Linked DNA regions of Elephas maximus indicus. The main gene of each other region encodes a partner of the protein of the gene in region 2 in a complex. Links are inferred from orthologs where the notes say so. Each region holds a gene or a part of one and is shown on either strand. Other genes may lie near its edges.

Evidence for each region.
Region 1: POLR2E (region 2) and GTF2F2 share a complex: the UniProt entries of both Homo sapiens proteins name them as parts of the TBP-based Pol II pre-initiation complex. The link is inferred for Elephas maximus indicus from reciprocal best matches to the Homo sapiens genes POLR2E and GTF2F2.
Region 3: POLR2E (region 2) and ERCC2 share a complex: the UniProt entries of both Homo sapiens proteins name them as parts of the TBP-based Pol II pre-initiation complex. The link is inferred for Elephas maximus indicus from reciprocal best matches to the Homo sapiens genes POLR2E and ERCC2.
Region 4: POLR2E (region 2) and DNAAF10 share a complex: the UniProt entries of both Homo sapiens proteins name them as parts of the PAQosome complex. The link is inferred for Elephas maximus indicus from reciprocal best matches to the Homo sapiens genes POLR2E and DNAAF10.

Annotation. Positions count from the first base shown.
Region 1 is NC_064832.1:35,134,183-35,141,844, forward strand, and holds the start of GTF2F2 (general transcription factor IIF subunit 2), read right to left. Parts: upstream 3,011-7,662; 5' UTR 2,808-3,010; coding exon 2,742-2,807; intron 1-2,741. UniProt on the Homo sapiens protein: TFIIF is a general transcription initiation factor that binds to RNA polymerase II and helps to recruit it to the initiation complex in collaboration with TFIIB.
Region 2 is NC_064821.1:806,764-814,726, forward strand, and holds the start of POLR2E (DNA-directed RNA polymerases I, II, and III subunit RPABC1), read right to left. Parts: upstream 3,007-7,963; 5' UTR 2,886-3,006; coding exon 2,829-2,885; intron 1,006-2,828; coding exon 831-1,005; intron 1-830. UniProt on the Homo sapiens protein: DNA-dependent RNA polymerase catalyzes the transcription of DNA into RNA using the four ribonucleoside triphosphates as substrates.
Region 3 is NC_064829.1:104,341,721-104,349,616, reverse strand, and holds the start of ERCC2 (general transcription and DNA repair factor IIH helicase subunit XPD), read right to left. Parts: upstream 3,002-7,896; 5' UTR 2,923-3,001; coding exon 2,918-2,922; intron 2,772-2,917; exon of another isoform or gene 2,710-2,771; intron 2,620-2,709; coding exon 2,520-2,619; intron 1,006-2,519; coding exon 928-1,005; intron 851-927; coding exon 788-850; intron 1-787. UniProt on the Homo sapiens protein: ATP-dependent 5'-3' DNA helicase. Component of the general transcription and DNA repair factor IIH (TFIIH) core complex, not absolutely essential for minimal transcription in vitro.
Region 4 is NC_064835.1:68,212,732-68,220,717, reverse strand, and holds the start of DNAAF10 (dynein axonemal assembly factor 10), read right to left. Parts: upstream 3,007-7,986; 5' UTR 2,917-3,006; coding exon 2,734-2,916; intron 1-2,733. Other genes in the region: RNA-binding protein PNO1, read left to right, coding at 3,408-3,608, 3,825-3,974. UniProt on the Homo sapiens protein: Key assembly factor specifically required for the stability of axonemal dynein heavy chains in cytoplasm.

The DNA.
Region 1 (7,662 bases), on a different chromosome or scaffold from region 2:
CAAGTATTCTCTAGATATGGGCATGAAAATCACCCTCAATACTTACCCCAGTGCAAATGAAACAAGTTCATATTATCTGCTAGGTGTGCAAATCAAACCCCATTGCCTATTGGGACGCCTTTTACTAGAACAGAAATAAAAGTTGTCAAATAAAGGCGGGATATAGACAGATTTTACAACAGAAAATATTTGCTAGCAATTCTCTTCCTCTTTCAGAAATAAGGTTGTCAGAGGACAAGAACTGGCAAGAAAGAGAAAATATCCAGCATATTCCTTTCATACCCAGGAAAGACGTATTTACAAGTCCATTCATTTCCTTGACACATAAAAAAAGAAATACTGCATACCAAGTTGATGCTAGGAAGCAATGATTTTGCAAGCAAGAAATAACAAGAACAAATCATCGGCTTAAGATTTTTTTTTTTTAAAAGAGATAAAATGTATTCAAATGTGCATATATGGGGAGAATACCAAAATTCTTTTAACTTCTTCAATTTCAGATTCATTACGTTCTTTCACATTCTCATTTAGTCAGACTGATGGTTAACTTTATGGGTCAACTTGGCTAGGCTATGGTGCCCAGCTGTTTGCTAAAACACTAGACTAGTTGCTGTTATAAATTACATATGGTGGCCTCAAGTAAAGCAGATTACCTTCTATAATGTGGGCAGGCCTCAATCAATCAGGTAAAGACCTTAAAAGCAAAGGGAAGCTTCCCTAGGATGAGTTCTACTCCTCTTCCATACCGTAATAGATATGAACACTCCTACTCTTCACTCTTCTTAACGCCTGACCTACACGCAGATTTGGGGAGTGCAGGAGTCTACAGCCAGTTGCCTAACCAACTGATCTTGCAGCCCCCACAATCACGTGAGCCAATTCCTTGAAATAAATCAATCTCTCTCTATCTCTACACATGTATATGTCTGGTTCTGTTTCTCTAAAGTACCCTAAGATAGTCAGCAAATCCTGACAATTTTTTACTGAAAACATTTTCCTAACTCTTCAGACTTCATCATCTCATACATACCTATGCTACTGCGGTAACTTTCTGAATTCTGACTCTGGTCACCCTTACCCTCTAATGCATACTGCATACTGCCAAGTTTATTTTCTTTTTAAAAGAATCTTATGCATCCCTGCCTTACTCAAAACCCTCCATTTTCTATAGACTAAAATCAAGAGAGAATCCACTCAACAACAACTGACTTAAAGCTAAAACATCTCCGTTTCACGATATGACAATTTGGGTATATGGTCCCAAGCTTTTTTTACACAAACTCTCTGCTCTAGGCATAATAGTCTCCTCTTTGTTTTCCAGAACGCATCATGTTAACATGCATTTCCAGTCTTGTATTTCTGTTCCACTCCTATAGGATCGCTATGAGTCAGAATCAACTCACTGGCAACAGATTTTTTGGTCTATGGAATACTATGCTATAGCTCGATCCACCCATTCAAATCCTGTAAGGCAAACAACATTTATTGTGCATCTACTGCGCTCCAAGCATAAAACCATAATCTCCATTCTCACCACTTTTTCAAGCTCTTTTCTTTAGCCTACAAAGCAGATTATCTCCTTAATCAATCTCTTCCAGTTGGGAGTGAGACACCCATTTACTTGATCGTTTTAAGTCATGCTGATGTGGCTGTGAGATAAGTCGAATGAGTGCCACAGACTAAGGATAAGGTTGAAGGATGAAATCATGCATTCATTCATCAAATATCTGCTGAGCAATTACCAATGTGCCAAACACTATTGTGGGTCCTGTTCTAATGGAATGTGATTGTGTGTATGTGGGTGTTGAGGGGCAGGGAGTAACCATCACTGAACGCATGAATACGGAATCACTTTAGACTCTGACAAACACTTTGAAGAATATAACAAAAGTTTGACGTGCTACCAAATCACCATAAAGGAGCTATTTTAGAGGGGTGGACAGGAAGAACCTCTCTGATATTTAACTGATGAGGACTTGGCCGTGTGATAAGACAGTAAACTAAAGCATTAACAAACCAAAGATCTCTACATTTTATGCGAGGTTCAAAGACTGTCATGATCACAGTTTGAACATGCATATGTCTTATGAAACTCCCCCAAAAAACAACACTTCTCAGTATAAAAAAAGTCAATACAAACACTGTGCTAACGGCTAACCCAGACTGCAAACGAAAAGGACGCAATACTAGTCTTTACATAAAACATTTATTGACGGTCAGTCTCAAGAGACCCAATCGTGCTCTAAAAGAAAGGTCGAGTGACCTCTTCTCCCATTAGTTCAGAACTCTTCTGAGAGCCCTATTAAAGGTCATCATCCTAAAAGAACAATTTTAAGGGTAAGCAACCTTCCGTTCTACTTTCTGGCCGAGAAAGTAGATTCTTCCGCGTGCTCTCAAGACTAAAATCCGTTTCAACAAGATTCAGGAATTCTTCGATGTGGGATAAAATGCACCGCTCAAATCGGGGACACCAGACGGGGCACCAGGGCAAGCCAGGTCGTGGGGAACAGATCCATTCCAGGCATACTTGGACTCTCAATTGGCTGAAAGACACTCAGCTTCCCTAAACTAATTTTCTCATCTGCAAACGGGCAAAACAACGACCACACTTCCCCAAGTATGTGAAGCTCTAATGAGATGGCCATAAAAGAACTTTAAAAGCCGTACGGAGCGGGACGATCGTAAGTCACTTAAACTATTTCTATCAGGGGGCGCACAGGCGGGAGTCCCGCGAACATTACCTTGACCAGCCACACTCCCGTGTTCTGTTTGGCGCCGGTCAGATCGAGTTCGCCGCGCTCAGCCATGAGTCTGTCGCCGGTGGAGGCGTGCAGCCGGGGCAGCGGCCGCGACAGCTGGGGGACTTCTGCCGGAGGAGTGTCCGGGGCAACCGGCGAGCCGCGGAGGAAGGTGGCCTCTGAGGAGCTAGGGTTTCTCAGCTACCAGGAAGCTGGAAACCTGAGGAAAAAGGAACACGCCGCTGGGGGCCGGGAACTGCGCCTGCGCACTGCCACCGTCAGTACGGCGCGTTGCTGGGGACAAACTTTCCAGTCGGCCCGCGCTTGGGTGGGTGTGGCTACCGGAGAAGCCCTATCTGATTGATTAAAACGTACGGTGGGACGGGCCAAAACGTCATCAGTACCTTTAAAGACTAGGTCAACGTAACTAAAGAAACTCAAATCGCAACCTATTATCTTCCAGCCAATTTCAGTTCAAAATGACCCTGTAGGACAAAGTAGATCGGCCCCATAGGGCTTCCAAGGCTGTAAGCTTACAGGGGTACTGGGTTCCAACCCTGATCTTTTGGTTAGTAGCCAATCGCTTTAACCACTGCACCACCAGGGCTCCTATAACTAAGGAACAAAACAAAACCCATTGCCATTGAGTTTATTACAACTCATGAGGACCCTATAGGATAGAGTAGAACTACCCCGTAGAGTTTCCAAGGAGCGCCTCGTGGTTTTGAACTGCCAACTTTTTGGTTAGAGACATAGTTCTTAACTACTACACCACCAATGTTTCCCTAACTGAGGAAAGAGGGCATCAAAACAGAATAACCAATGGGATTTAAAGAGACAGAAGCTGTCAGTATATGCCCAACCCTGGCCAAGGAGAGAGAGACAACATTTTGAAGGACAGAACTAGAGTAAAAATTGGAGTTCTTCAAATATCAGTTTCCCGGGAAGTGAACTAGCACAAATGGGCATGGGGATTGGATTAATTTGCCCCAGGTAATCTGAAAACATGCCATTTCTAGACCTGAAAAGAAAGCGGTGTCTCAACTCAGAGGCTGTCCCTGGGGACCTATAATTGAGTAAGCACAGTCTTTAGATTCCAAAATCTGGACTTAATTAGGTCAGTGACAATACAAACACGTAAGAGACAAACCTGATTGTTGAACTCCCCTGCTTAAACAAATTTCTTTTCTCTACTTGGCCCTAGAATAAAATTCAATCCCCTTGCTTCATGAGTCCTCTCCGTTTGATTCCTTTGCACTCCTGCTCCTGACTCTACCACACTTCCCACTGTAACCCAGTGAGGGTTCTTGTCCCGTCCTGTTAGCAGATGGAAATATGACAGACGCCACACCGCCAGTTGTAAGGGAAACAGAAAGTGGAAATTTATTGTTTGTGCAGACAAGGAACGCGGGGCCTAGCAGCCAAAAGACCACGCGCTACCAGCCCCAAGGGAGCTTAGAGCTTTTATGCCCTTCAGTCCCTAGGGGGTGGGATTGGTGCCCCAAATCCGACACCCCATCCTCCCATGTCCATTTTTGGAGATCCAGGTGCTGAATTATTTGTAAAGGAAGGGAACTTTCACTTTACAAGTGGGCTGCGGTGCAGCTGTGTACTGGAGAACATCCGCTCTGGCAAAGTTCAGATCAGGGGTCAAGTTCCAGGCCTCGGCTCTTCAGAGCCTGCGTGGGCACCGAGATCTTGGTTTGCGCATGCGCGGGGTGTTGGTGCCAAATTCAAGCCTCAGGTAGTGCCCTCAGCGCACTGGGGCCAAACAGCGGTTAGGACAGGAGGCTTGGTGGGCTGCAAGTGGGGGTAGGAACTGCAGCGGATCGGGAAGCCTCAGTGACGGCTTCACAACCACACTGAGCCTATCAGACCTCCCTGAATTCGTGAGGCTCTTCCTAAATTATTTCAGAGCCTCTTCACACTTGATTTCCTATCCTCGGATCCCCTAGTCTTCCCATAAGCCCGTCCTCGAATAAACTTCTATTTATCTTTCAAGACTAATGGAAACATCAGTTCCTACGAGACCTTTTGCCGACGCCCCAGAGGAAGTTCATTTCCCTTCACATCACAGTGTGTGACACTCAGGGGCGGATTATCCGATAAGCAAGTTACACACGGGCTTATTTGTGCTTATTTTCTGATCTGTACAGCACAATTTCACCTGTTTTTCACCACAAGAAAGACACTTAACTTACTTCACTGGCACTTAAGACAAAACCAAAAAATCATGTTGCCCATTGGGTCAATTCTGATTCATGGTGACCCTACAGGACAGAGTCGAACTGCCCCATATGGTTTCCTAACCTTTAAGGGGGAGCGCTGGTGGTGCTGTGTGAGAAAGATGTGGCAGTGCACTTTTGTAAAGGTTTACAGCCTTGGGAACCCTATGCGGCAGTTGTACTCTGTCCTACAAGGCCACTATGAGTTGGAACGGATTCCACAGCAATGAGTTCCCTCCCCCCCTTTGGTTTGCAATCTTTACGGAAGTATACTGCCATATCTTTCTCCCACAGAACGGCCTCAGAGTTTGAACCAGCACTTAACCACTAGCCACCAGGGCTCCTACCCATAACACACTGCACTAAAATATACATGTTTACATGCCTGCCTCTGCTTTCTAGGCTATGAGCTCCTCCCAGGCAGAAATATTTATTCATATCTATAATGTCTAGCACGGTGTTTGACACATTGTCACATTTCAAAAGGCTTTGGTTGAGTGAATAGTCACTGAAGTAAGATATTGTATGAATGGCAAGTAATATATTAAATCACACATCAGACCCACGCACAAAATCGAAGAAATCCCATCACTGCAGCATAGGACCAGGAAGAGCCATCAGGTCTCTGAGATCACTTTAGAAAAACTAATAGGAAAGACAGGAACCAGGCAGTGTGTTAAAAGGGAAGGCTGTATTCTCGAATCACAACTTGGGAAAGGGCCCAAAAACATATAGAGTTCAAGCAGATGAAGAAAGCTCCTTTAAGCTTTGATGAAGTAGAAGGAATAAATCGAAATAGGAGACCATGAAAGAAGGGTAGTAAAGTAGCCTGGAGCACCCTAATAAAGGACTTTGCCAGTTGCTATTGAGTTGACTCCAACTCATGGTGATCCCACATGTGTCAGGGTAGAACTGTGCTCAACAGGGTTTTCAATGGCTGATTTTCCAGAAGTAGATCACCAGGCCTTTCTTACAAGGCACCTCTGGACTTGAACCTCCAACTTTTTGGTTACCAGTTGTTATGGATTGAATTATGTCCCCCAAAAATATGTGTCAACTTGGTTAGGCCATGATTCCCAATATTGTGTGGTTGTCCTCCATTTCCTGATTGATATAATTTGCCAGTGTTGTAAACCCCAATCTCTGCCTGTGGTTAATGAGGGAAGATTGGGTTATGTTAAAGAGGATTAGGGTGGGATGTAACACCTTTAGTCAGGTCACATCCCTGATCAAATGTAAACAGAGTTTCCTGGGGGTGTGGCCTGAATCACCTTTTGTCTTACAAGAGATAAAAGAGAGAAGCGAGGGGAGAGAGAGTGGGACCTCATACCATCCAGAAAGCAGTGCCAGGGGTAGAGTGGGTCCTTTGAACCTGAGGTTCCTGCACAGAGAAGCTCCTAGACCCGGAGAAGATTGATAACAGGGACCTTCTCCCAGAGCGGAAGGAGAGAGAGAGGGCCTTCCCCTGGAGCTGATGCCCTGAATTTGAACTTCTAGCCTACTAGACTGTGAGAGAATAAAATTCTGTTTGTTAAAGCCATCCACTGGTGGTATTCCTCTTATAGCAGCACTAGATGATTAAGACACCAGTCAAGCACATTTACCATTTGCAACACCTGGGGACTCCAGTAGTGGACTTTAGAGTAAAGAATTAGTGCCTTGGCCTTGATCAATGAGTTATAAGAAGCCTTAAAATTTATGTGCGTGCATGCATGCTACACAGGGGTTGTGGGAGAAAGAATGGCAAAGAAATGGGTAGAGAAAAAAGGAAAACATGAAGATTTAAAAATGATAAAATTGGGAAAGAGGAAAAACCCAACAATTTACTGAGCACCTGTCCTCATACACTGTTGAGCAAAGAACAATTTTTTCCCTACCTGTCCTTTCCAAACATCTTCCAGCTTGGGGATGGATGTCTGTGGAACTGGGAGAGAAAAGGAGAACACAGCCTAACAATATCCATCGAATTTACTGGGAGACCCACAAGGTGACAGATATTGCAGCCAGATTCCTCACCTTCATAAGGGCCTGTATAGACACTCAGCTATGCATCTTATGTATATTATCCCATCTAATCCTTATAACAAGGATTTCCTTTTACTTGGATCCACAATCAACAGCCATGGAAGCAGCAGTCAAGAAATCAAAAGACACATTGCATTGGGTAAATCTGCTGCAAAGGACCTCTTTTTTTTAAAGTGTCGAAGAGTAAAGACGTCACCTTGAAGACTAGGGTGTGCCTGACCCAATCCATGGTATTTTCAATCGCATCATATACATATGAAAGCTGGACAATGAATAAGACTGAAGAAGAATTGACGCCTTTCAATTGTGGTGGTGGTGAAGAATATTGAATATACTAAAAAAACTGCCAAAAGGACAAACAAATCTATCTTAGAAGAAGTACAGCCAGAATGCTCCATAGAGGCAAGGATGGCGAGACTGCATCTTACATACTTTGGACATGTTGTCAGGAGGGATCAGTCCCTGGAGAAGGACATCATGCTTGGTAGAGTACAGGGTCAGCGGAAAAGTGGAAGACCCTCAACGAGGTGGATTGACACAGTGGCTGCAATAATGAGCTCAAGCATAACGATTGTAAGGATGGCTCAGGACCAGGCAGTGTTTCGTTCTGTTGTGCATAGGGTCGATATGAGTCGGAACCGACTCGATGGCACCTAACAACAACAACAATCCTT
Region 2 (7,963 bases):
TGACTCGGTGACTAGAAACAGGGCCTGGGGAAGGTGTGGGGTGAATTCTTGTCCTTCCTGGCTCATCGCAGAGGCTTCTGGGACCAAAGGCGCCTTCGATGCTCTGGAAGGCAGAGCTCCTTCTCTCTCTGGCACCAGGTGGCTGTCCAGGGCAGAGCCAGGGTGCCTCCCAAAGGTCAGACTCAATGTCTCTGACACTGGCCTCCACTGCTCGGCTAGACTGAGGGCAGAAGCCTGAGACCCACAGTGCTGCTGAGGGTCCCCGTATACTGTCACCCCAGAACTAGGATGCAGACAGCTGGTGTGGTGGGCACACAGGAGGAGGGGAGCTGAGTTCTGCTGGGAAAGGGGGGGGCACTCAGAGGTGCAGGAAGAGCGGAAGCAGGGAGCTGAGCTCATGTGGAGGGAGCCTGGCTGCTAGGCCAGGAGGCTGGAACGCCATCCCAGGAGGTGGGCAGCAGGACAGGAAAGAGCCGTCAGGAGGGAACAGACAGGAGGGAGCAAGGGCCTAGGCGGGATGCCTCTGGGAGAGTCCTGCTGGGAGGACACAACAAGGACACAGTCAAGGGAGACAGAAGCGACTGATCAGAGGGAAACTGGAGCAGGTGGTGGGTACGTGAAGAGACTGTCAGAGGGGTCAGAGGTCAACAGCACAGCGTGGAGAGGCAGGGAGCTCTCTCCCCAGTCCGGGTTGGAGGGCCACACACAGGCAGATGCTAGAAGCTGCACCTAAGTAGGTGCTCCAACAACCCCACCAGAAACGTGGTCCTTTGGGGATCCCTCAGGAACCTCAGGGATGGGAAGCTGTGTACACCCACCAGGGCCCTCACCTGGGAAGAAGACGAACATCTGGTCAGTGGGGTCATCATTGTGGGCCACCAGCACGGTGAGGTCCGTGCGCCGTGGCCGCCCTTCACTCGGTTTGTCTCCAAACTGGGCTTTGAACTCCTCTAGTGTCTGGTCCAGCTCGTCCTGCGTCACCAGGTAACCACGGTCGTGACACAACTGCAGAGAGAAGGGCCCAGGACCTCAGGGTGAGGAGAGCCACAGCATGCCTGAGTGCACACACCCTGGTGTCAGGCATGGTCGCAGCGATTCAAATGCTGGCTGTGGAGGACACAGGGTGGGCACACCTCAGCCACCAGCCTTAGGCCAGTCAGGGAGACAGGACAGAGAAGTCATAGCGAAGTGGATGAACACGGTCACCCTCTAATCCCATGGCCACCCCATGGGCTGGGACCAGTGTGAGCCCCTGTGGGGAGACAGGCTGATTTCATGCCTGCTTCCTGGGCTGCTTAAGCAGAGGCCATGGGCCCAGAGCATTCCCTGATACGGAGACTGTAACTGGGTCTCTCTCTCCCTCCCTCCCAGTTTCTCTTCCTCATCAGGGGAGCCTCCCTCCCAGTTCTGGGCACACTCTAACTTTCTCTGTTGCTGTTCATGCAAACAAACAAACAAAAAACCAAACCCATTGCTGTCAAGTTGATTCTGACACATAGTGACCCTCTAGGACAGAGTAGAACTGCCTCATAGAGTTTCCAAGGAGTGCCTGGTTGATTTGAACTGCCAAGGTAGCATTTAACCACTACGCACGCCACCAGAATTTCCTTATAGCACCTGGCCAACCCAACTGTTCTTGGAGAACAGGAAACGGGGTCTCTCAGTTGCAGCACAAGAGGAGTGCGTGTCGGACATGTGCTCTGTACTGGCTATGAGGGGACTCACTGGCCATGGGAGACTGGAGACCACAACTGAAGCTGACTCTGCTGTCTCATCTGTGTGAGTAAAGCGTGGTTCCAGTGCCTGTCTGTGATTTGCGCCTTGTTGGCAACCTCCAACTGTGGCCCAGGAGGCAAGGATCTAGACCAAGACCACCTGGCCCCTGGGAGTCCTGCCAGGCCTACACCTGAGCAGATGAGCCCAGCCTCTCAACCCCTTTGCAAAGCCACCCTGAAGACGGAGGCCAGAATAGCTGCGACTTCAGGCTGAGACCCTAGTGTGGGCAGGCACTCAGGAGAGAGAATGAAGCTGCCGGGGAACTTCACAGAGGGACCGGGGAGGAGATCAGGACTAGCTCACAGCCCTGACCTTCCCTTTCTCCATCTAGGTCCTTTTCTAGAACCATCTGCTCAAATAGCCCTGATTTCTGGGGTGAGATCCACAATTACTGGCCTTCAGGGACGGTCTGCCCAGGACGTCCCCTCCCAGCTCTGTCTTCATCTGCTCCGGACCTCACGGCACCGGCTCTGGACTCAACACCCCCGAGCTCAAACCCCAGCTCTGCCGCCGCTTCCCAATCACAACCCGCCCTGACCCTCAGGTTCAGGATAAAGCAACAAAAAGTGCAGCTCGTGACTGGGGCGGAGCAGGGGCCCTCCAAGAATGCCCCCGTTCTTTGTCGCCACTTGTCACCTCCTTCTCTAGCCCTTCACACTCCCCAACCCCAACTCCCGCCCACACCCGACCCCCCCCCCGGGACCTCTCAGCTTCTCCCCTCGGCCGCTGGTCTGTGGGGTCCCTCAGTCCTCTGGAAGACCCCAACCTCGGCGTACTGTGACCCTCGCCCTGCCCGCCCCAAAGCAGGTGTCCCGCCGCTGAGCTCAGGGCACATAAGGCAGCGCCCCTGGGGCAGACCCAGCAACGAGGGTCTGGGGTGGCCTTGGGGACCCCCCGATCCAGCCACAGGGGATGAGGGAGGGGGAGACGCCACGCTCCTTCCCACCTCCAGGAACCACCAGACCGTTGCGCGCTCGGCTCACCTGGCGCAGGTAGGCCCGCCGTGACCCCATTCTCTAAACAGGGGCATCCCCCCGCCCCGCGCTCCTCACCTGCATGATGGTCTTGCGGATCTTCCACAGCCGGTACGTCTCCTCCTCGTCGTCCATGGCTGCTTCGCTTCTCGGAGTCGACGCGCTGCGCCTGCGCCAGTCAGGACCCGCGCGCACTGCGCCTGCGCTAAGCCACCCCTAGTCCACTCCGTGCAGGGCTGGCCTCAGCGAACGCCTGAAAGCACCGACCTCTGGAACCGGCAGGTCCGAGGGCAGCCCGAACCTTCCGAAAGCGGTGTTTGGCTGCTCCCTAACAGAGACTTGCAAATATCACCGCCCACCACCGCCTGCAGTTCTCGCGATGCTTGAGCCGCAAGGCCTCTCGGGAGTTGTAGTTTCCGCTCAACGCCCAGCTGTCGGGCGGCTGTTTAGAATCTCGCGAGGGAGAGGCCGGGTACAGATAGGGAAACGGAGGCCCGGACGGGCTCGGGGGCCTGCCAGGCTCTCGGGCACAGTCGGGTAGTCTAGAAAGTGCTCCACAAATATGTGTGCGTCCAAGTGTCTGGGGTCCTCTCCGCATGGTGGCTCCAGGGCTCCGCCCGAGACTCAGTTTCCACGTCTTTATAATGGAAATAATAAATGCCCCTGTTTTAGAGGGTTAAGTGAGGATCTAAAAAGATGGTCGTGTTTGGGAAGAGCCTGGCAAAGCCTCCCACCTCCGCTTCAACCTGGCCCTCTCCCCTGGCTCTCGGTCCGGCCTCCGCCTGGGTGCCCCATGGCCCCCAGACCTAGTGGGTCTTGACAGACCTCCACATCAAGCCCCCGAGCTCATCAAGGAGGCTCGCCCAGCCCCGCGCCTGCCACACTGAAGGTGATCAGTAACTTATTCAGCGATTCATTCCATTCAGTCGCTAAACAGCACCGAAACCTGTTGGTGTAGAATTGGGTCCGGCTAGGTGGCCCCATGTGAGGCAGACAACCTCAGAGCCCAACCCATCTAAGAGACAAACACCTGCTCTGGCTTATCGTCCTACAGCGAGCAGAATAAGCTGCAAATTCTGAAACTGTCCTTGACAAGATAACCACAGAACGGGCCATAGATGGCTTCAATCCGCCTCTGGGGGGAGACTTAACATCCTAGTAGAAGAAAATCAACCTCTTCCTCCATTCCGGAGAATGGAACCCTGTCTAGAGAAAATGCATAGTCATCCCCAAACTCTGAACGCCTGTGTGAAGGTCAATCCTGAATATTCATAATAAATTTGCATTTCCTTGTCTGCTTTGTATAAAAGCCCACCTCCCCAAGCTGCCTGGGAGCAGTCTTGGAGGCAGCAGCCCCCATGGCTCCTATCCTTGAGCAATGAAATAAAGGCATCTTTCTCATCTCCCACCTTGGCCTCTTGTTTATTGGCTGCAGCAAGTCACACCAAGCAGAACCTGGGGTCTCCACCTGGCAGCACACATGTTACAGAGGAGAACTGTTCAACAGGGCTTTCTTGGCCTTTACCAAAGGAGCCCCGGCGGCTCAGTAGTTAAGCACCCAGCTGCTAACAGAAAGGTCATTCGGAACTCACCAGCAGCTGTGCAGGAAAAAGATGTGGCAGTCTGCTTCCGTAAAGATCACGGCCTTGGAAATCCTATTAAAAAAATACTGCTGTCGTGTCCAACCACAGGGTTTCCAAGGAGTGGCAGATGGATTCAAACTAGCAACTTTCTGATTAGCAGCCAAACTCTTTAAGCACTGCACCACCAGGTCTCCGTATGGAGCAGTTCTACTCTGTCCTATAGCGTCGCTATGAGTCGGAATCGACTCAGCAGCAATGGTTTGGTTCAGCTTTTACTGAAGCAGGTGGCCAGGCCTTTCTTCTGCAGTATCACTGAGTGGGTGCAAACTGCCAACCTTTAGATTAGGAGCCAAGTGCAGACTGCACCACCCAGGGACCCAAGAAACACAGAGATAGTGAATAAAACAGACCAGGAGTCCCTGATGTTCCAGGGGACACAGGATCACAAGCACTGAACATAACATGTGAATGATAAAATATGTCTGAAGCTGATACTGCTATGAAAAAAGCAGACCAGGGTAAAGGAGATGGCGGATGAGAAAGCTTGCAGCATTGAAGGCAGAGGTCAGGGAAGGCAGGGAGGAGAGATTTAAGCAAAAACTCGAAGGAGAAGAGGGAGGGAGCCACGCAGGTGTCTGGGGGAGGGTGTACCGGGCAGAGGTTAAAAGCCCGTGCAAAGCCCCTGAGGCAGGACTGGCCTCGTGTGTTGGCATCCAGGAGGTGAGTGTGGCTGGCTCGGAGTGTGCACCGGGGAGCAGGGGAGTTCAGAGTCGAGGTTCTCATCCTGGGCGTTTCTGCCCCCAGGGGACACTTGGCAACCTCAGGGAACATTTGTTGTCGCAACTGAATGGGGTGCTACTGGTACCAAGTGGGTGGAGGCCAGGGATGTTGCTCAACACGCTGCAGTGCCCAGGACGGCCCCCACCCCAGGGAAGGCAGCAATGCTGAGGGGGAGGACCCTGTGGCCTGAGCAGGGTCACTGGGTGTGAGAATGGAACAGAAGGAGGGGTCAGGGATGAGAGTCACGGGAGCCTCTGGGACTGCGACTTGACTGTGTGCTCTCAGGCCCGTGGCTTCACCTCCCTGTGCCTCAGCACCCCTCCTCGGCCCATGGTACAGTACCCACTTCATCGGGTAACTGTTGTTGTTAGGCGCTGTCAGTAGATTCTGACTCATAGCCACCACGTGAGGTTTTCTAGGCTTTTTTTTTTTTGTACTTTAGGTAAAAGTTTACAGAGCAAATAGGCTTCTCATTAAACAATAAATACACATTGTCTTGTGACATTGGTTGCCAACCCCTCAATGTGTCAACACTGCCCCCTTCTCCACCCCAGGTTCCCCGTTTCCATTTGTCTACTTTTCCTGTCCCTTCCTGCCTTCGCTTTTGGGCTTGTGCGGACCCTTTAGTCTTGTATACATTATTAAACTACAAAGCACGGTCCTCGCGTGTGTTATTATTGTTTATTTTATAGACCTGTCTACTCTTTGGCTGAAGGGTGAATTTCGGGAGTGGCTTCAGTACTGAGTTACAAGGGTGTCCGGGGGGCTGTACTCTAGAGGTTAGGCTGTAATCTTTACGGAAGTAGATCATCAGGTCTTTCTCCAGTGAGTCCCTGGGTGGGTTCGAACCGCTGATCTTTCAGTTATCGGCCGAGCGCTTAACGCTTGCACCAACAGGGCTGCTTTCATTGGGCGGTAATGGCCGATAATTGCAGACTGCTTAGACCTGCATCACCTGAGTTAGCAACCCAAAACCGAATCCACAACCGTCAAGTCGAATCTATAGAACAGAGTAGAACTGTCCCATAAGGTTTCCAAGGACTAGTTGGTGGATTCGAACTGCCAACCTTTTGGTTAGCAGCTGAGCTCTTAACCACTGTGCCACCAGGGCTCCTGAGTTACCTAAGTGCTCATTAAATAAAATAAAGGAGACAAGCAAACAAGGGAGGAGGTTGCCAGGTGCCCTGGAGCCAGGGGAAGGTGGTGTCTCCAGGAGGAGGGAGAGACCTTCATATGTCCCTGGCCCCAAAATGTGTGTCAATTTGGATAGGCCAGGATTCTCAGTGTTGTGTGGTTGTCCACGGTTTTGTGATCTGATGTGATTATCCTATGTGTTGTAAATCCTAAAGTCTGTGATGTTAATGAGGCAGGATTAGAGGCTGTTATGTTAATGAGGCAGGACCCAATCTACAAGGTAAGGTCGTATTCTGAGTCAATCTCTTTTGAGATATAAAAGAGGGAAGAGCAGAGCCACAGAGAGATCTCACACCACCAAGCAAGGAGAGCCCCTGGGGGCTGCTGCGCTGAGAAGCTCCCAGGCCAAGGGAAGACTGATCTCAAAGACCTTTCTCCAGAGCCGACAGAAAGAGAAAGACTTCCCCTGGAGTTGACACCCTGAATTCAGACTTCTAGCCTCCTAGACTGTCAGAGAATAAATTTCTCTTTGTTAAAGCCATTCACTTGTGGTATTTCTGTTATAGCAGCAATAGATGACTAAGACAGCTGTTGAGCTGCCAAGCCCTTGGAGGCCTGAGATGGAGCAAGTGGGGCTTGGCTGAGTGGCCCTGTGACCCTGACCAAAGCAGACCCTGGGGCTGGCTGGATAGGACTCTGCCAGGACAGGAAGGGGAAACACGGCTACAAAGGGGGACAGCAGGGAGTGATGCTGCAGCAGGAGGAGTGAAGATGGGGGAAATAGAGTTTTATGTGCTGGGGTGATGACCCAGTTAAAAAAAAAAAAAGAAGCTTCTGTGGAGTTGCCCCTGAGTCATGGTGACCCCATGTGTGTCAGAGAACAACTGTGCTCCACAGGTTTTCAGTGGTTGATTTTTCAGATGTCTTTCTTCCAAGGCACCTCTGGGTAGACTCGAACCCCCAAACTTTCTGTTAGTGGCTGAGTGCATTAACTGCACCACCCAGGGACTCCACTCTGGAGGGAGAAATCCACAGGGAGGGGTGAGGACTGCTGGAGCCCTGGGTGAGCCAGAGGGCTTGGGTGCAAGTGAGGGGTGGTCTTAGCTGGGAGCTGGGTGACATGGATGGTGCGGGGGTTGAATTGTATCCCCCCAAAAGATATGTCAAATTGTAACCACCCCCAGTACCTGCGACCGTGACCTTGTTTGGACACAGGGTCTTTGTAGATATGATCAAGTTCAGATGAGGCCATACTTGAGTATGGTGGAGCCTAACCCAGTGACTGGTGTCCTTATGAGAAAAGACACAGACAGACAGACTCAGAGGGAAGATGGCCCCGCGGAAGTCAAGGAATGCCAAGGGTTGCCGGCAATTGCCAGAAGCTGGAAGAGACGAGGAAGGCTCCTCCGCTAGAGCTTTCAGAGGGAGCTTAGCCCTGGATTTTGGACTTCTGGTCTCCAGAGCTGTGTGAGAATCAAGCGCTGTTGTTTTAAGTCGCCTGGTTGGCGGTACTTTGTCATGGCAGCCCCAGTAAGGCAGAACCCCCACAGTGCTTGTCACGGATTGAATTATGTCCCCCAGAAATGTGTGTATCAACTTGGTTAGGCCATGATTCCCAGTACTCTGTGGTTGTCCTCCATTTTGTGATTTTAATTTTATGTTAAAGAGGTTTAGGGTGGGATCGGAACACCCTTACCAGGTCACATCCCTGAGCCA
Region 3 (7,896 bases), on a different chromosome or scaffold from region 2:
CGTGGTATGGCCGACATTCTTCGCCAACACCATAATTCAAACGCATCAATTCTTCTTTGGTCTTCTTTATTCATTGCCCAGTTTTCGCATGCATATGAGGCAACTGAAAATACCATGGCTTGGGTCAGGTGCACTTTACTCCTTAAAGTGCCATCTTTGCCTTTTAACGCGTTAAAAATATATGTAATGTAATTAAGGTCAGCATCAGTTGCTGTCCAGCTGATTCTGACTCATGGCACCCCCATGTGTATCCGAGTGCAACTCTGCTCCACAAGGTTTTCAATGGCTGATTTTTCAGATGCAGGTCACCAGGCCTTTCTTCTGAGGCGCCTCTGGGCGGACTTGAACCTCTAACCTTTTGGTTAGCAGCCAAGCGTGTTAATCATTTGCACAACCCAGGGATTCCTAATTTAATGAAATGAACTTCCATAATCTTATCTAATCTAATGTAATTAATCAATCAATTGAGGTCATATCAGTGCAAGATAGAGCCTAAACCTAATCACCCCTGAGTTATAAAAAGACCAGAATAGACACAGCAACTCACACACACACAGGGGAAGATAGATGACGTGTGAGAATCACCTACAAGTAAAGGAACATCAAGAATCGCTAGCATACACCAGAACTGTAAGAGACCTTCGCAGAAGGAATCGACATGGCCAAGACCCTGACCTGGGCTTTTCGCCTCCAGAACTGTGAGAAAATAAATAGCTGTTCTTTAAAGCCGCCCAATTGTGGTATTTCTGTTATGGCAGCACGAGGAAACTAAGACACCCCGGCTCACCTTCTCAATCTCGGGCACAGTCCTCGAGCAGTAGATGAGTTTGGTCACCTCCAGCGGATATGCCTGCCAATGACAAGCAGGCTCAGCCCCCACCCAGCCTCTACCCGATACCCTCTCCATGGGCCCAGTGGGTCACTTACCCGCTGGTACGCCATGATCAGAGCCAACAGAGACACTGTCTTCCCAGTGCCCGAGGGCATCTCCAGGACTCCATGACCCTATGCGTTGGGGGTAGGAGGGACAAGATACAGGCTCTCAGAACCTTGGGGGCACAATCTCTAGGGATGCTGCCCCCCTCCCTCCAAGAAGACTGCCATCAGCACAGTAGTTAATAGTTTGGACCCGGGAGGGGAGAGGGGTTGAATCCTACTTCTGCCACCTCTTTACTGAGTGGTTTCAGGCAAGTGCCTTCACCTCTCTGGACCTCAGTATCCTCATCTCTAAAATGGGTCCATAAAGGTCTTCCTCATATCATGATTGTGAAGATTAACGACAAATTGTAAGCTAATGATTTACCATGGTATCTGATATATAGTGAGCCCATTTTTTCCTGCAGCTTAGCAAACACTTCCACAGCACTTCCTTGGTGCCTGGCACTGCTGTAGATGCCTCATATCCTGCTCTACTGACATCTGGGGCCGGATAATACTTAGCTGTGGGGCAGCTGTCCTTGCACTGTGGAATGTTTGGCAGCGTCCCTGGCTTCTACCCACTAGAAACAATAGCGCCCCACCCCACAACTAGTATGGCGAGGAAGAATATCTCTAGACATTGCCAATTGTTCTCCGGGGGTCAAAATCCACCCCTGCCTTACTGTATTAATCCATTTCACCCTCACGACAACCTATGAGGTAGGCATTATTAAAAGCAGTTGTCCTCAAGTAGACTCTGACTCATGCCGACCCTGTGTGTATCCCGGTAGCACTGTGCTTCACAGGGTTTTCAATGGCTGACTTTTTGGAAGTAGGTCACCAGGCCTTTCTCCCAGGGTGCCTCTGGGTGCACTTGAACCTCCAATTTTTCAGTTAGACAGCTGAGCAAGTCACCTATTTGCACCACCCAGGGACTTCAAGTACTGTACTATTACTATGTCCCTTTTACAGGGGCACCAGAACAGGGAGGTTAATAACTTGCCCAAGGTCACACAGCTGGTAGACTGTGAATCCGGGGTTTCAATCCAGGGAGCCAGCTCCAGTGTCTATGGATCTCTACGCACCGGGATGTCTGGCCTTTAATAAATGTTGCTGCTAAGTGCTATGGAGTTCTGACTCATAGCGACCCTATGTACAACAGAACGAAAACTACCTGATCCTATGCCATTCTCAGAATCGTTGCTATGCTTGACCTAATAAATATTAAAAAAAAAAAAAAACTTTTTTTTTTTTTTTTTTAGCTACTATTATTAACTGGAAGTCCTGGTGGCACAGTGGTTAAGAGCTCGGCTGCTAACCAAAAGGTTGACAGTTATAATCCACCACCAGCTTCTTGAAAACCCCACGGAGCAGTTCTACTCTGTCCTATAGGGTCCCTATGAGTCGAAATCAACGGCAACGGGTATTATTAACTATTATTATTTCAGATGGCAGGTGGCTTTGGAGTCCTAGATTCCCAAGGACCTCAGGTTTCTAAAATCCTGGGGTCTTGGCTATCTAGACGTCCTCCAACCTCAGTCGCAGACCCACGCGTGACGGCCCCACCTGTTAAGCAGGCAGCGGCCGCCCGGCCTACTCACTTTGGCATCCAGAGTGCGTTTGAGCTCCAGCATGTAGGAGAACTGCTCCGGGTAGATGTAGTCGTAGGGGAAATAGACCAGCAGGCCGTCCACGTTGAGCCTATTGGTGGGGGCTGCTGGGTCAGTGTCCTCCCCCTCAGGCCCCCTCCAAGCCCCCGCGCTCTCCGGCCGTCGAGCCAAGGGCAGTTACCTGCCGGTCCCCCCGGGTATCCCGCCAGTTCCCAAGGAGCCTCCGGGTCTCCCCGCTGACCATCCCCGTTACCACCCCGCCGGCCCCGCGGTTACCCCATCCCATCTCTTCAGCCACCCCTCGCCCTGCTGGGGACCCCACACGCTCCCCCCCATCTTTCAGCCCCCTGCGGCCGTTCTCCAGCCGCGGTCCCCGGCCCCACTCTCACTTCATGGCGCCGGCCAAGGCGTGCAGCGGCGTCGATCCGCCTCCCTCATGAATATTCAGCGAGAGACCGGGTCCGTGGGACGTCCGCCCCACCTTCCTCACGATCCCACTGGCTGATCCCGCCCGTGACGCTACTGGGGCGGAGCCAGTGGGAATACTGCGCGCATGCGCAAGGCCTGAGCAGGCGGGCTCCGGAGAGATAGGCGGTGCCCAAGGCGTCGCTGAGGATCACCGAGGACAAAGAACAAAACATGGAAGGAGGAGAGCCGAGAGAATCGATCTCACCCAAAACATTCGTTTTCCAGCATCTGCCAAAGTGTCACAGCAGAGAATAGAGACTAGAAGAAAATAACAGGGAAATTGGAGACTCCTTGGTGGCCCACATGTTAGGAATGGCTTAACTGCATCAGACGAGCATACATTTATAAAGTTCCTGCTGTGTCCTAGACTCCTGTGGAATAAATAACTATCCATTTATTGAGCACCTACTATTTGCCAGATACTGTCGCTATGAGTTGGAATCAACTTGATGGCAGTGGGTTTGGTGGGTTTTTTTGTGGTTTGGTACAAGCCTTTAGAGGACCCCTGGTGATGTAGTGTTTAAACGCTCAGCTGTTAATGGTTGCAACCCACCAGCCACTCCGCAGGAGGAAGATGTGGCAATCTTAAAGATCGCAGCCTTGGAAACCCTATGGGACAGTTCTGCTATGTCCATTAGGGTTACTATGAAGCGGGACTTACTCGATGGCAACGGGTTATGGGGTTATGAATTACCGGGAGACCTCGTTAAAATGCCGATTCGGATTGTTGAGGCGGGAGTGGGCCTGAGATTCCGCATTTCTTATCCACTCCCAGGAGGTGTCAGTGATCTGGTCTTCAGACTACACTGTGAGTTGTGAAGGTCTACACTTTCTCTTAGCACTCCCCAGTGGGACTGAGCCCCAGTTGTCTAAAATACCTTTTCAGAAGCTTTCTTCTGGTCTCACTTTTCCACTCCCTCTAAAAGCAGTCACCTTCCAAATAAACTGTTGTTATTAGCTGCCGTTGAGTTGGCCCCCAACATTGGCAACCCCGTCCACGAAGGAACTAAACGCTGCCTGGTCCTGCATCACCCCCATAATCAGTGGTAGATGAAACTGTTGTGATTCACAAGGTTTTCACTGACTGATTTTTATATCCATAGAATTTATTCTATTTTTGTTGTTGTTGTTGAGAATATACACAGCAGAGCATATACAAATTCAACAATTTCTACAGGTACAATTCAGTGACATTGATAACATTCTCCAAGTTGTGCAGCCATTCTCAAGCTCCTTTTCTGAATTATTTCTCCCCCAGTAACACAAGCTCATTGCCTCCTAAGTTTCTGCATCTAATCTTCCAAGTTGCTGTTGTCAATTTGATCCCATATAGATAGATATTAAAAGTGCACAATGCTCAGAGCAGACATTCTTTACTAGTTAACCTATTGTCTGTCTTGAAGAAGGTGACAGGTTATTTTTGTTTTAAGGTTTAAAGTTTATCTCAAGGCAATAGTTTCAGGGCTTCATCCAGCCTCCATGGATCCAGGAAGTCCGGATTCCATGACAATTTGAAATTCTGTCCTGCATTTCCCCTCTTTTGATCAGAATTCTTCTACAGAATCTTTGATCAAAATGTTCACTAATGATAACTGGGTAGCATTCAGTTCTTCTGGTCTCAGGGCAAAGGAGTCATTGGCTGATATTTGGAAGTAGATTGCCAGGCCTTTCTTCGTAGCCCATCTTAGTCTGGAAGTTCTGCTGAAACCTGCTTAGCATCATAGCACCATACAAGCCTCAGTGACAGCCTCCACTGTGGTGGCTGCACATGAGGTACATTGGCAGGGCATTGAATCGAATCGGGTTTCCTGCATGGAAGGTGAGAATTCTACCACTGCATCACCAATGTCTCATCCCAATAAACTACATGTTCTCAAAAATAGAAAAAGGACTTTGCAGATGTGATGAAGTTCAGAATGTTAAGATGGGGAGATGATCCTGGATTATCCAGGGGGGCCCTCAACATAATCACAAGAGCTCTTCTAAGAGATTCCCCAGCAGGAAAGAGACAGAAGGCAATGTGACCACTGAAGCAAGATGCTACCCAGACGGCTCTGAAGATGGAAGAAGGCATCACAAGCCAAGGAATGTAAGGAATGAAATCCTGGAGGCTAGAAAGGGCAAGGAAACAGATTCTCCCCTAGAGACCCTGGAAGTAGCTCAGCTCTATTGCCATCTTGATCTCGGCCCAGTGAGATTGATTTTGGACTTCTGGCCTCCAGAAAGGTAAGAGGATAAATGTGTGATGTTTTACACCACCAAGTTTATGGTAACCCCTCCTGCTTTAGTTTCTTTCCGTAACAGTGATCACCATCTGATATAACAGCTATTTTGCTTTTTTTTTTTTTTTGTCTATTTCCTTCCCTGACTGGAATGTCAGCTCTACAAAAGCAGGGACTTTTTTTTTTCTTAATTGTAAAAAATACATGTAACACAACATTTGCCAGTTCAATGTTTTATCTGTGTACAGTTTAGTGACGCCAGTTACATTAATTGTGTTGTGCAGCCATCACCAGTATCCATTGTCAAATTTTCCATCACCATCACAGAAACTCAATGCTCCCTAAGCAATGACTCCCTCTTTCCCCCTCTCTCCTGTCCCTCGGAACCACTAATAAACTTTGGTCTCTATAGTTGCCTATTCTAGAGAGCTCATATAAGTGAGATCATACAAATATTTGCCCTTTCATGATTGACTAATTTCACTCAGCATGTTTTCAAGGTTCATCCATGTTGTGGCGTGCATCAGGACTTCATTTCTATTCACGGCTGGGTGGTATTCCACTGTGTGTATGTACCACATTTTGTTTCTCCATTCATGTATTGATGGATATTTTGGTTGTTTCCACCTTTTGGCTATTGTGAAAAGTGCTGCAATGAACATTGATGTACAGGTTTCTGTGTGTTCCTGCCTTTGCTTCTTCTGGAATATAGCTAGGATTGAGATTACCAGGTCATACGGTAGTTCTATGTTCAGTTTTTTAAGGAACTGCCAAAGAATGCGAAGAATGGAAATTCCAGAACACTTAATTGTGCTCATGAGGAACCTTTACACAGATCAAGAGGCAGTTGTTCAGACAGAACAAGGGGATACTGACTGGTCTAAAGTTAGGAAAAGTGTATGTCAGGGTTGTATTCTTTCACCATACCTATTCAATCTGTATGCTGAGCAAATAATACGAGAAGCTGGACCATATGAAGAATGGGGCATCAGGATTGGAGGAAGACTCATTAACAACCTGCGTTATGCAGATGACACAACCTTGCTTGCTGAAAGTGAAGAGTACTTGAAGCACTTACTAATGAAGATCAAAGACCACAGACTTCAGTATGGATTACACCTCAACATAAAGAAAACAAAAAGCCTCCCAACTGGACCAATGAGCAACATCATGATAAGCAGAGAAAAGATTGAAGTTGTCAAGGATTTCGTTTTACTTGGATCCACAATCAACTGCCATGGAAGCAGCAGTTGAGAAATCGAAAGATGCATTGCATTGGGCAAATCTGCTGCAAAGGACCTCTCAAAAGTGTTGAAGAGCAAAGATGTCACCTTGAAGATTAAGGTGCACCTGACCCAAGCCATGGTATTTTCAATCACATCGTATGCGTGTGAAAGCTGGACAATGAATAAGGAAGACCGAAGAAGAATTGATGCCTTTGAATTGTGGTGTTGGTGAGGAATATTGAATATACCATGGACTCCCAAAAGAATGAACAAATCTGTCTTGGAAGAAGTACAACCAGAATGCTCCTTAGAAGCAAGGATGGCGAGACTGCATCTTACACACTTTGGACATGTTGTCAGGAGGGATCAATCCCTGGAGAAGGACATCATGCTTGGCAAAGTACAAGGTCAGTGGAAAAGAGGAAGACCCTCAACGAGGTGGATTGACACAGTGGCTGCAACAATGGACCCAAGCATAATGATTGTAAAGATGGTGCAGGACCGGGCAGTGTTTCGTTCTGTTGTGCATGGGGTCGCTATGGGTTGGAACTGACTCGGCAGCACCTAACAAGAACAACAGCCAAACTGTTTTTCACAGGAGCTGCACCGTTTTACATTCCCATCAGTGATGGAGTTGTCTTAGGCTAGGCTCTCTAGAGAAGCAAAACCAATGCAGCATATAAATATATAGAGAGATTTATATAATGGAAATTGTTCATGTGGCTGTACAGGGTAGAAAGTCTCAAGTTCATGGGTTAAGACGGAGGCTTCTCCTGACTCACGTAGTCACAGGGGGCTGGCAAATCCAAGATCAGAAGATCAGATAGGAGGCCTCTGGCTCACAGGCTGTGGAGGCTGACAAATCCCAAGACTGGCAGGTAAGACAGCAGGTAAACTGCTAGCTCAAGTCCCAAGAACCAAAGGTCAGACAAACAGGAACCAGCTGCATGATCCATAGTTTGCAAAAACCAGTGAGCCTTGCCCGAAAGTCCTCCTATATTGGATACAGGCCACACCCCCAAGAAAAATCCCTTTCAACTGATTGGCTGCGCACAACAGATCTCATCATGGAGGTGATCATATTACGTCAAATCTCATTATGGAGGTGATTACATCATTAAAAAGCTGCCAAGCTACATCATAACTGCCAAACCACTGAGGATCAAGGCCCAGCCAAGTTGACAGACAACTTTAGCCATCACAGGATCTAAGGATTTTGAGATGAGAAGATTATTCTAGGTTAACTGGATGAGCCCAATGTAATCACAAGGATCCTTATTTATAAGGAAAAGAGTGAGGCAAGAGAATCAGAGGAGGAGATGTGACAACGGAAGCAGAGGTTGGAGGGTTGCAGTTGCTGGCTTGGAAGATGAAAGGGAGAAAGGAAGCAATGAATTCAGGCAGCTTCTAGATGCTGGAGAAGGCAAGGGAAGAGATTCTCCCTTAGAATCT
Region 4 (7,986 bases), on a different chromosome or scaffold from region 2:
ATTTCCTGTCTACCCTCTTACCAACAAGACAAGGAAGGCATCACAAAGACCCATTTGCTTCCTTCACTTGTTTTTCTCCTGGTTGCGTGGGATTTGGAACACATGACTTAAGATGGCTTCACAATGACTAAATCAGGTACGTTTCCTAATATTTTAATAAATAACTCATCTAGCCCAATGGTTCTCAACCCTGGAATGCATTAGAATCTCCTGGGGGGAGTTTTAAAAATACTGATTTCCAGGCCTTCCCCTAGTCCAGACCCATTGTATTAGATTTTCTAAGGGTGGGGCCAAAGCATGAATATTTTAAAACCAAAAACCAGGGTAATGAAACACATTCAGATGATCCTGATGCACAGTAAGGCTGGAGAACCACGGTGCCTATACTTAACCTATCTTCTTTCCCATTGCACCATCACAGCCAAATACAATCTAAGTTCTTCAATGTGTTTTTGAGCTTGTTTTACTCTGTTTTGACAGGGTAGGCTCCTTAGGGGAAAGGACTCATCTTTCAAATATCTTTGGTCCTTCCTTAGCATAGTACCATGAAATATTAGTTTCTCAGTGGATAGTTTACATAGAACAAAAGTAGAAGACCCCAAAAGGTACAGGTGAAAACATAATAAGTGGATATTCCTGGAGTGAGATCATGGGTGATATTAACATTCTTCTTTCTCCTAGCTACATTTTCTAAATGTTCTATCATGACGATGTATTACTTCTGTTCAAAAAGCAAAACTATTAAAAAAAAAAAAATTAAAATTTGCTAGAATACCCCAGAATCTCTACAGGAGACAAAGAGCAATCTTTCATTTTATGTAATAAGTGTATCCCTGAAAAGTGCACAAATCAAATATTCTTATTAAAAAATCACAAGTCTGTAGATACTCTCTGCTTGAGCTTCTATTGGGCATTTGCTCCTAATACTTCAGCTTTAAATTTCTCTCTACTTTTCCAATATTCCCCGTTTGTTCAAACTCCTGATCCCCAGTCGATTAATGATCAATAGACCAATATTTAAGTTTCCGAACTTAAAGCCTCTTTACAGACATACATTTCCTCATTCTTTCAACAAATATTTATTGAGTAGCTGCTCCTTACCAACACTAAAGAAAGGCACTGTCCTCACTCGAAAAGAGCTTACGATCTGGTCAGACATATACAGGACAGGATATACGTTCCTGGCACAGGCAATAAGTATTACAGGAACACAGTGTAGAGAAAACTTCCACTGTGTGGGGATCAGGAAAGGCTTTGTAAATCAAGATAACCTGAACTGGATCTTAGAATAGCAACAAGTGACTAGTGGCTAAGTGGTAAACAACATTAAAAGAAAACAGGCACTCCTGGAAACTTGAAGTGGGTTGGAGCCTTGCATATTGTCTAATCTAAACTTGCATACTGAAATTGTATTCATCCTTTATTTCCCAGTTTAACCCTCATCTCCTCCAAGCAGATTCTCCCCATAACTTTTGATTCTTGGAGTTTTCAAGCTTTCCTGCACTTGTAGCCTCTTACAATACGAAACACCTGATAATGCCTGATTTTTTTTTTAGGCAACCCAAATGAAGGCATTTTTTAAATTGTGAAGAGCTACAAAATGTTACTGTTATTTTCTAATTCTTTCACTAGTGATCTTTAAAAAACTTGTAAATCTGATCGTGCCACACCCTGCTTAAAGCCCTTCAAGGACATTCCATTTCTCTTTGAATAAAGACATAAGTCCTCTAAATGACCTACATATCATGCAAGGTCTGGTCCGTGCTTATCCCTCTTGTTTCTTAAGTGAAAAACCCTCTCCACCTCTGGGCTTCCATATTTGCTGTGTCTCCTGGAAATCTCATCCTCCACTCCCAATTTGTCTTAGCTTCTGTGTTGTTGTTGGTTGGGTGCTTGCGAGTCAATTCGGACTACAGGACAGAGCAAAACTGCCTCATAGGGTTTCCAAGGCTGTAAATCTTTACGGAAGCAGGCTGCCAGATCTCTCTGAAGGAGAATGAATGGCTGGTGGGTTCCAACCGCTGAACTCTCAGTTAGCAGCCAGGCGCTTAACCACTGCGCCTTCCACTCATCCCAAATCTGTTTTTACTCTCATAGAACCGTGGTCCTTTATTTTAAAGAACTCATCTCGGTTTGTACGTACGCACCGTTGGTTTAATTATTTGACTATCTCCCCTATTAGAAAATAAATTCCGTGAGATTGGGGACCTTGCCATCCACATGCCTGGGAATACCAGGTCCTCAACTGACACTTGGTGAAAGAATGAATAAATGTGATAGGTTGTCTCCTCCAATTACACTGCAGGTTCGGGGGATAGGCGCCGCTTTGGCTCTGCTGGTATGAAAAAGCATTTTATTAACACGGGCATAGTAAGAGACTCTCAGCAAACAACTCTGAACTGCCTAAAAGGGTCTCGAACTTAGACACGAATTCTTAACGTCACCTCCCAAAGATCTCGCGCTGGACTGCGCTGGAGACGGCTGGAGAAAGGGGTCGGCAGGGCGCAGATGAACTAGCCCGCCGAAGAGAACTCAGGGTTCCAACGAAAGCGTTTTAAGTCGGACAGATTCCTTAGTCTGCGCTCAGCTTCGCTAGTCTCACGCAGCTCGAGCTGCGTTGTGGGCGGATGCCAAGCAGACTTCGGGCAAAGAATACAGAGCCCAGGATCGGCAATCGTCCCCCTAAGGACATTCCCAGATCCTGGAATCGGGCAGTCTCGACCCGGCACCCACCTCCCGAAGCAGCTTCAGCTCCCCATGCTGGATCTCATACAGCTGAATGACGCCGGTGCCCCGTGCGAAGTTGCCCACGGTCACAAATTTGGCGCTGCATGGCACCCATTTACAGTCAAACACAGTGTAGTTGAGGCTCTTCTGGATATGGGCGATGATCTGAGGCTTCTCAAAGGCCGACATGGCCCAAGAAATGCCACCTCCAGCAACCGCCAGCCCCGAACCCCGCGCAAACACTAACCTGGAAACCAGACCCCAAACATTAGCGACAGTTTGTCTCTCCCGCTTGCCGTACCCGGGCCTCGCTAGTTGGATTTAGTTATCTAAGATAATGCCAGATACACTACAGAGAGCGCGCAAATTTTCCTTTAGGGACAACACAAATATGTTTATCACTTTTATGACTGACTCTTTTACATATACAGTTTTGAGATTACAAAATGCTTTATCTGTGACTTGCGCAGCCAGAGGGAGGTCATAAGAATCAGGCATATTGTAAGATGGCCCCCACCGACATTAAAAAAGCCTGGCTGAGGACCCCGCGTGGGACCTCTTGGGAAGGGGGCGGAGCCCTGGGGCAGGTGGTGCTCGCAGGGTGGTCGGGGTGCGCCTGCGACGTGCGGCTGCGCACGTGGTGGAGGCGGAAGCGCCTGCCGGGCCGGAGATCCCTGGGGATGGAAGGCGGGATGGAGGCACAGAGCGCCGGGGCCGAGGACGGTTTCACCCAGGTCACCCGCAGGGGTGGCCGGCGGGCGAAGAAGCGGCAGGCTCAGCAGCTGTCGGGGGGGAGCGGAGACGCGGTCCGCATGGACACGGAGGAGGCCCGGCCGGCGAAGAGGCCCGTCTTTCCGCCCCTCTCCGGGGATGGGCTCCTGGTACTGGCCGGGATCCTGGACAGGAGTGGGGCAGGGGCCAGAGACGGGTTAAACCTCTGGGTGATAGTGAAGCTGCGGTGCTCTTCTGGAGAAGTGACTCTCCGGAGGCTTAACTCGTTCAGTTTAAAGGAAGATTTTTTGTGGATCAGCTGTCATTTTACAACTCCATCCCCACCCTTCCAGACATCTCCTAAGTTGTGTTCTTTTCTGTTGTAGGGTGGGAAAGAAGAAACAAGGAAAATTCCAGTCCCAGCTAACAGGTACACACCATTGAAAGAGAACTGGATGAAGATATTTACTCCTGTTGTAGAACATTTGGGACTTCAGATACGCTTTAACTTGAAATCCAGGAATGTAGAAATCAGGGTAAGGAGCGAGCCAACTATTTCCACATATACTAGGATTTCTCCTACAGGGATCGAGGACTGAATAGACTTTGCTGAATGGGACTTGTTAAGTGGTTTCTTCCAGTTTTCTAATATATATCGAGTTTGAACTTCTTAAATGCCTTTAAAATCTTGATTCAATACAAATACTAATTGAATTCTAAATGAGGATACTGGCTGTGTCTGTGCATATCTTTTATAATGTATCGCATTGAACTGCGAAGACCGAAGAAAGGCATTGTCCTAAGGCAGAAGTATGTGAGTGACATACATAGGCATATGCAGGGTTTTAGTTACTGGCTGCAGCAGTACAGGCACCATGCATCTTAATAGTATTGCAAAAAAAAAAAATATGTGTATACGTAATAGCTATATACTTTAAAGTATAAAAATAAATGTGAAAATCAGTTATGTACGTGTGTATACCAAACCAAAACGAAACCCATCGCCATCGAGCCAATTCCAACTCATAGGGACCCTATAGACCAGGGTACAGCTGCCCCATAGGGTTTCCAAGGACTGGCTGGTGGGTTTGAACTGCTGACCTTTTGGTTAGCAGCCAAACACTTAACCACTGCACCACCAGAGCTCATGTATATATAAAACCCACTGCCATCGAGTCGATTCCGAGTCATAGCAACCCTGTAGGACAGAGTAGAACTGCCCCATAGAGTTTCCAAGGAGCGCCTGGTACATTTGAACTGCCGACCTCTTGATTAGCAGCCGTAGCACTTAACCACTGTGCCACCAGGGTTTCCTATGTGTGTGTGTATATATACACGTATACATACATGCATATACATATACGTATACGCACATGTATGTTAAGAAGTAGGCTGCCAACCAAAAGATCGGCAGTTCGGATCCACCAGCTGCTCCTTGGAAACCTATGGGGCAGTCCTACTCTGTCCTGTAGGGTCCCTGTGAGTTGAAATCGACTCGACAGCAAGAGATTTGGTTTTGGTTTATATGTATATATGTAAATATATGTATGTATATGTGTATGTATGTATGTAGCTGTGTGCCGTCAAATCCATTTCCACCTGTAGCAACCCTGTGTGACAGAGTAGAAGTGACCTATAGGGTTTCCTAGGCTGTAATCTTAATGGGAGCAGATCCCCAGGTCTTTCTCCTACAGAGTGGCTGGTGGATGTCAGTCACTGAGCAGGGCTCCTTTAATCCAGTAGTTAGACATTTTAAATCAATTAATTTTGAGCTTTTTTCTGGTGGCAATTTTACATGATAATCTATGGCCAAAGTTAATTGTAATATCCTCCTTGAGAATTCTTATACCATCATTATGACAGGTGTAGACTTGTCTCTGATGCACTGTGTATGATAAGGGGACAAAGCAGAGATGCCCTGCTCTAAATAGTTGGTAAAGTTCATAATATTGAACTTGACAGTAGAATCCTTGTTTGTTCCTGTTGCCACTCTAATTCAGGTTTTGATGGTTTCATGTCAAGACATGTCATGTTTCACTATAGGTTTCCTTTGTTTTGCTACTTTAAGTCTCTCCTTCCTCATATACATTCTCTGTGCCAACTTTCTCTGACCATGTTGCTTTTATTATGACTTCCTGACTTAAGCTTTTAACTAAACCTGCTTTTTAGTTAATGGGTCCCAACTCTGGTCCCAAGTTGGTTTCTCATCATCTCTTTGAACATTTCTATTCCGTACTTCTGGGTAGCCTTTCCCTCTGAAGAAGGCCTTCTCCTCCCTACTCTCTCCCTCTTCCTACTTCAGTTCCTGTCATGTTCCTGGGTCTCCCTGAAGTTCTTCCTCCGTTGTAATTGGTTGGTTTGTCAGTCATTTCTTCAACGCCTGACTTTTGTTATGCTTAGCTGTCTTAGGAATTGCTGCAGCATAGATTTAGATCTCATTAACATTTGTTGAAGAGGGCAGTGGTAGTTCAGTAGTAGATTTCTTGTCATCCATGGGAAACCTGGGTTCAATTCCTGGCCAATGCACTTTAGGTGCAGCCACAACCTGTGTGTTATTGGAGGCTTGTGTGTTGCTGTGGTGCTGCACAGGTTTCAGCAGAGCTTCCAGACATCAGCCAGTGAAAACCCTGTGGGTCACAGTGGTCCCATCCCATTGTGCATGGGGTCATCATGAGTCAGGGGCCAAATCTTTGACAGCAAACAGCAGCATTGTTGACACTTGTATACCAGACCCATAGTGGTACTTGGACGTGCACTTCATCATTTGGTCTTTAACACGGCCCTGTGAAGTAGATGATATCCTTCCATCTTACAGATATGAGGAAACCAGTGATCAAAGAACTTGTGTGTCTTGGCCAAAGTCGTAAAGCTAATAATTGAATCTTGATGCTATTAGGGATTCCTCAGGATCTTCCACTCTAACCTCCTTATTTTACAGCTGAGAAAACTTAAGACCTAGAGTATCTATGTGACTTACCCAAGGACACATAGGAGTGGAACTAGGGTTTAGTTTTTGGGGGCTTTTTTTTTTTTTTTAATGGTTTTATTGTGGTACAATACATGTAATGGAGACATGGCAATTTTAATTATTTTTAAACGTGCAATGCAGAGAATCGTGAGATTATATCACCGGGTTGTATAACCATCACCACTACCTGTTCCCAACAGGTTTTCATCATCCCAAGTAGGAACTCAGTAGGCCTTAAGCAAACGCTCCCTTTTCCCCACCCCCAGCTCATGGTTACCTCTAATACTTTGGTCTCTACACACTTGCCTGTTCAGGATATTTCATAGAAGTGGGATCATATATTTGTCTTTTTGAGGAGCCCAGGTGCTGTAGTGGTTAAGTGCTATGTCTGCTAACCAAAGGGTCAGCAGTTTAAATCCACCAGGCACTCCTTGGAAACTTTATGGGGCAATTCTTCTCTGTCCTGTCGGGCCACTCTGAGTCAAAATCGACTTGATGGCAAAGGGTTTTGGTGGCGCAGTGGTTAAGAGCTTGGCTGCTAACCAAAAGGTTGGCGGTTGGAATCCACCAGCTGCTCCTTGGAAACACCATGGGCAGTTCTCCTCTGTCCTATAGTGTCCATATGAGTCAGAATCAACTCGATGGCAACTAGAAATGAGTGGCTGACTTAATTCATTCGGCATAATATTTTCAAGGTTCATCCGTGTCAGAGCATGTATCAGAATTTCATTTCTCTTTATGGCTGAATAATATTCCGTTATTTTTATGCATCACGTTTTGTTTATGCATTTCTCTGTTGATGGACGAATTGAACTATTCCACCTTTTTGCTATTGGGCATGATGCCGCAGTGGACTTTGGTGTACAAATATATTTGAGTCCCTGCTTTCAAGTCTTTAGGGTATTTAACCTAGGTGTGGAATTGGTAGGTCATATGGTAATTCTATGTTGAACTTCTTAAGGAACCACCAAATTGTTTGCCAAAGCAGCTGCGCCATTTTACATTCTCAGCGGCAGTAGATGAGGATTCCAGTTTCTCCACATACTTGCCTACACTTGTTATTTTCCTTTTTTTTTTTTTTGATAATAGCCATCCTCTTGGGTGTGATCACCACTCTTCTGTCAGTTTTCGTACTGTGGTAGCTTACATGGTGCTGTGATACTGAAAGCTCTGCTACTGGTATTTCAAATACTACCACAGTCACCCATGGTGGAAAGGTTTCAGCAGAGCTTCCAGACTAAGAAAGTCTAGGAAGAAGGACGTGGTGATTTCCTTCTAAAAACTGGCCAGCGAAAACCTTATGAATAGCAGCAGAACATTGTCTGATATAGTGCCAGAAGATTGGCCCCTCATTTTGGGAGACACTCAGAATACAACTGGGGAAGATCTTTCTCAGAGTAGGGTCAACTTTAATGACATGGATAGAGTCAAGCTTTCAGGACTTTTATTTGCATGACTCAAAATGAGAAGAAACAGTTGTAAGCATCCGTTAATAACCAGAATGTGGGATGTACGAAGTATGAATCTAGGAAAATTGGAATTTATCAAAAATGAAATAGCATGTATAAACATCGATAGCC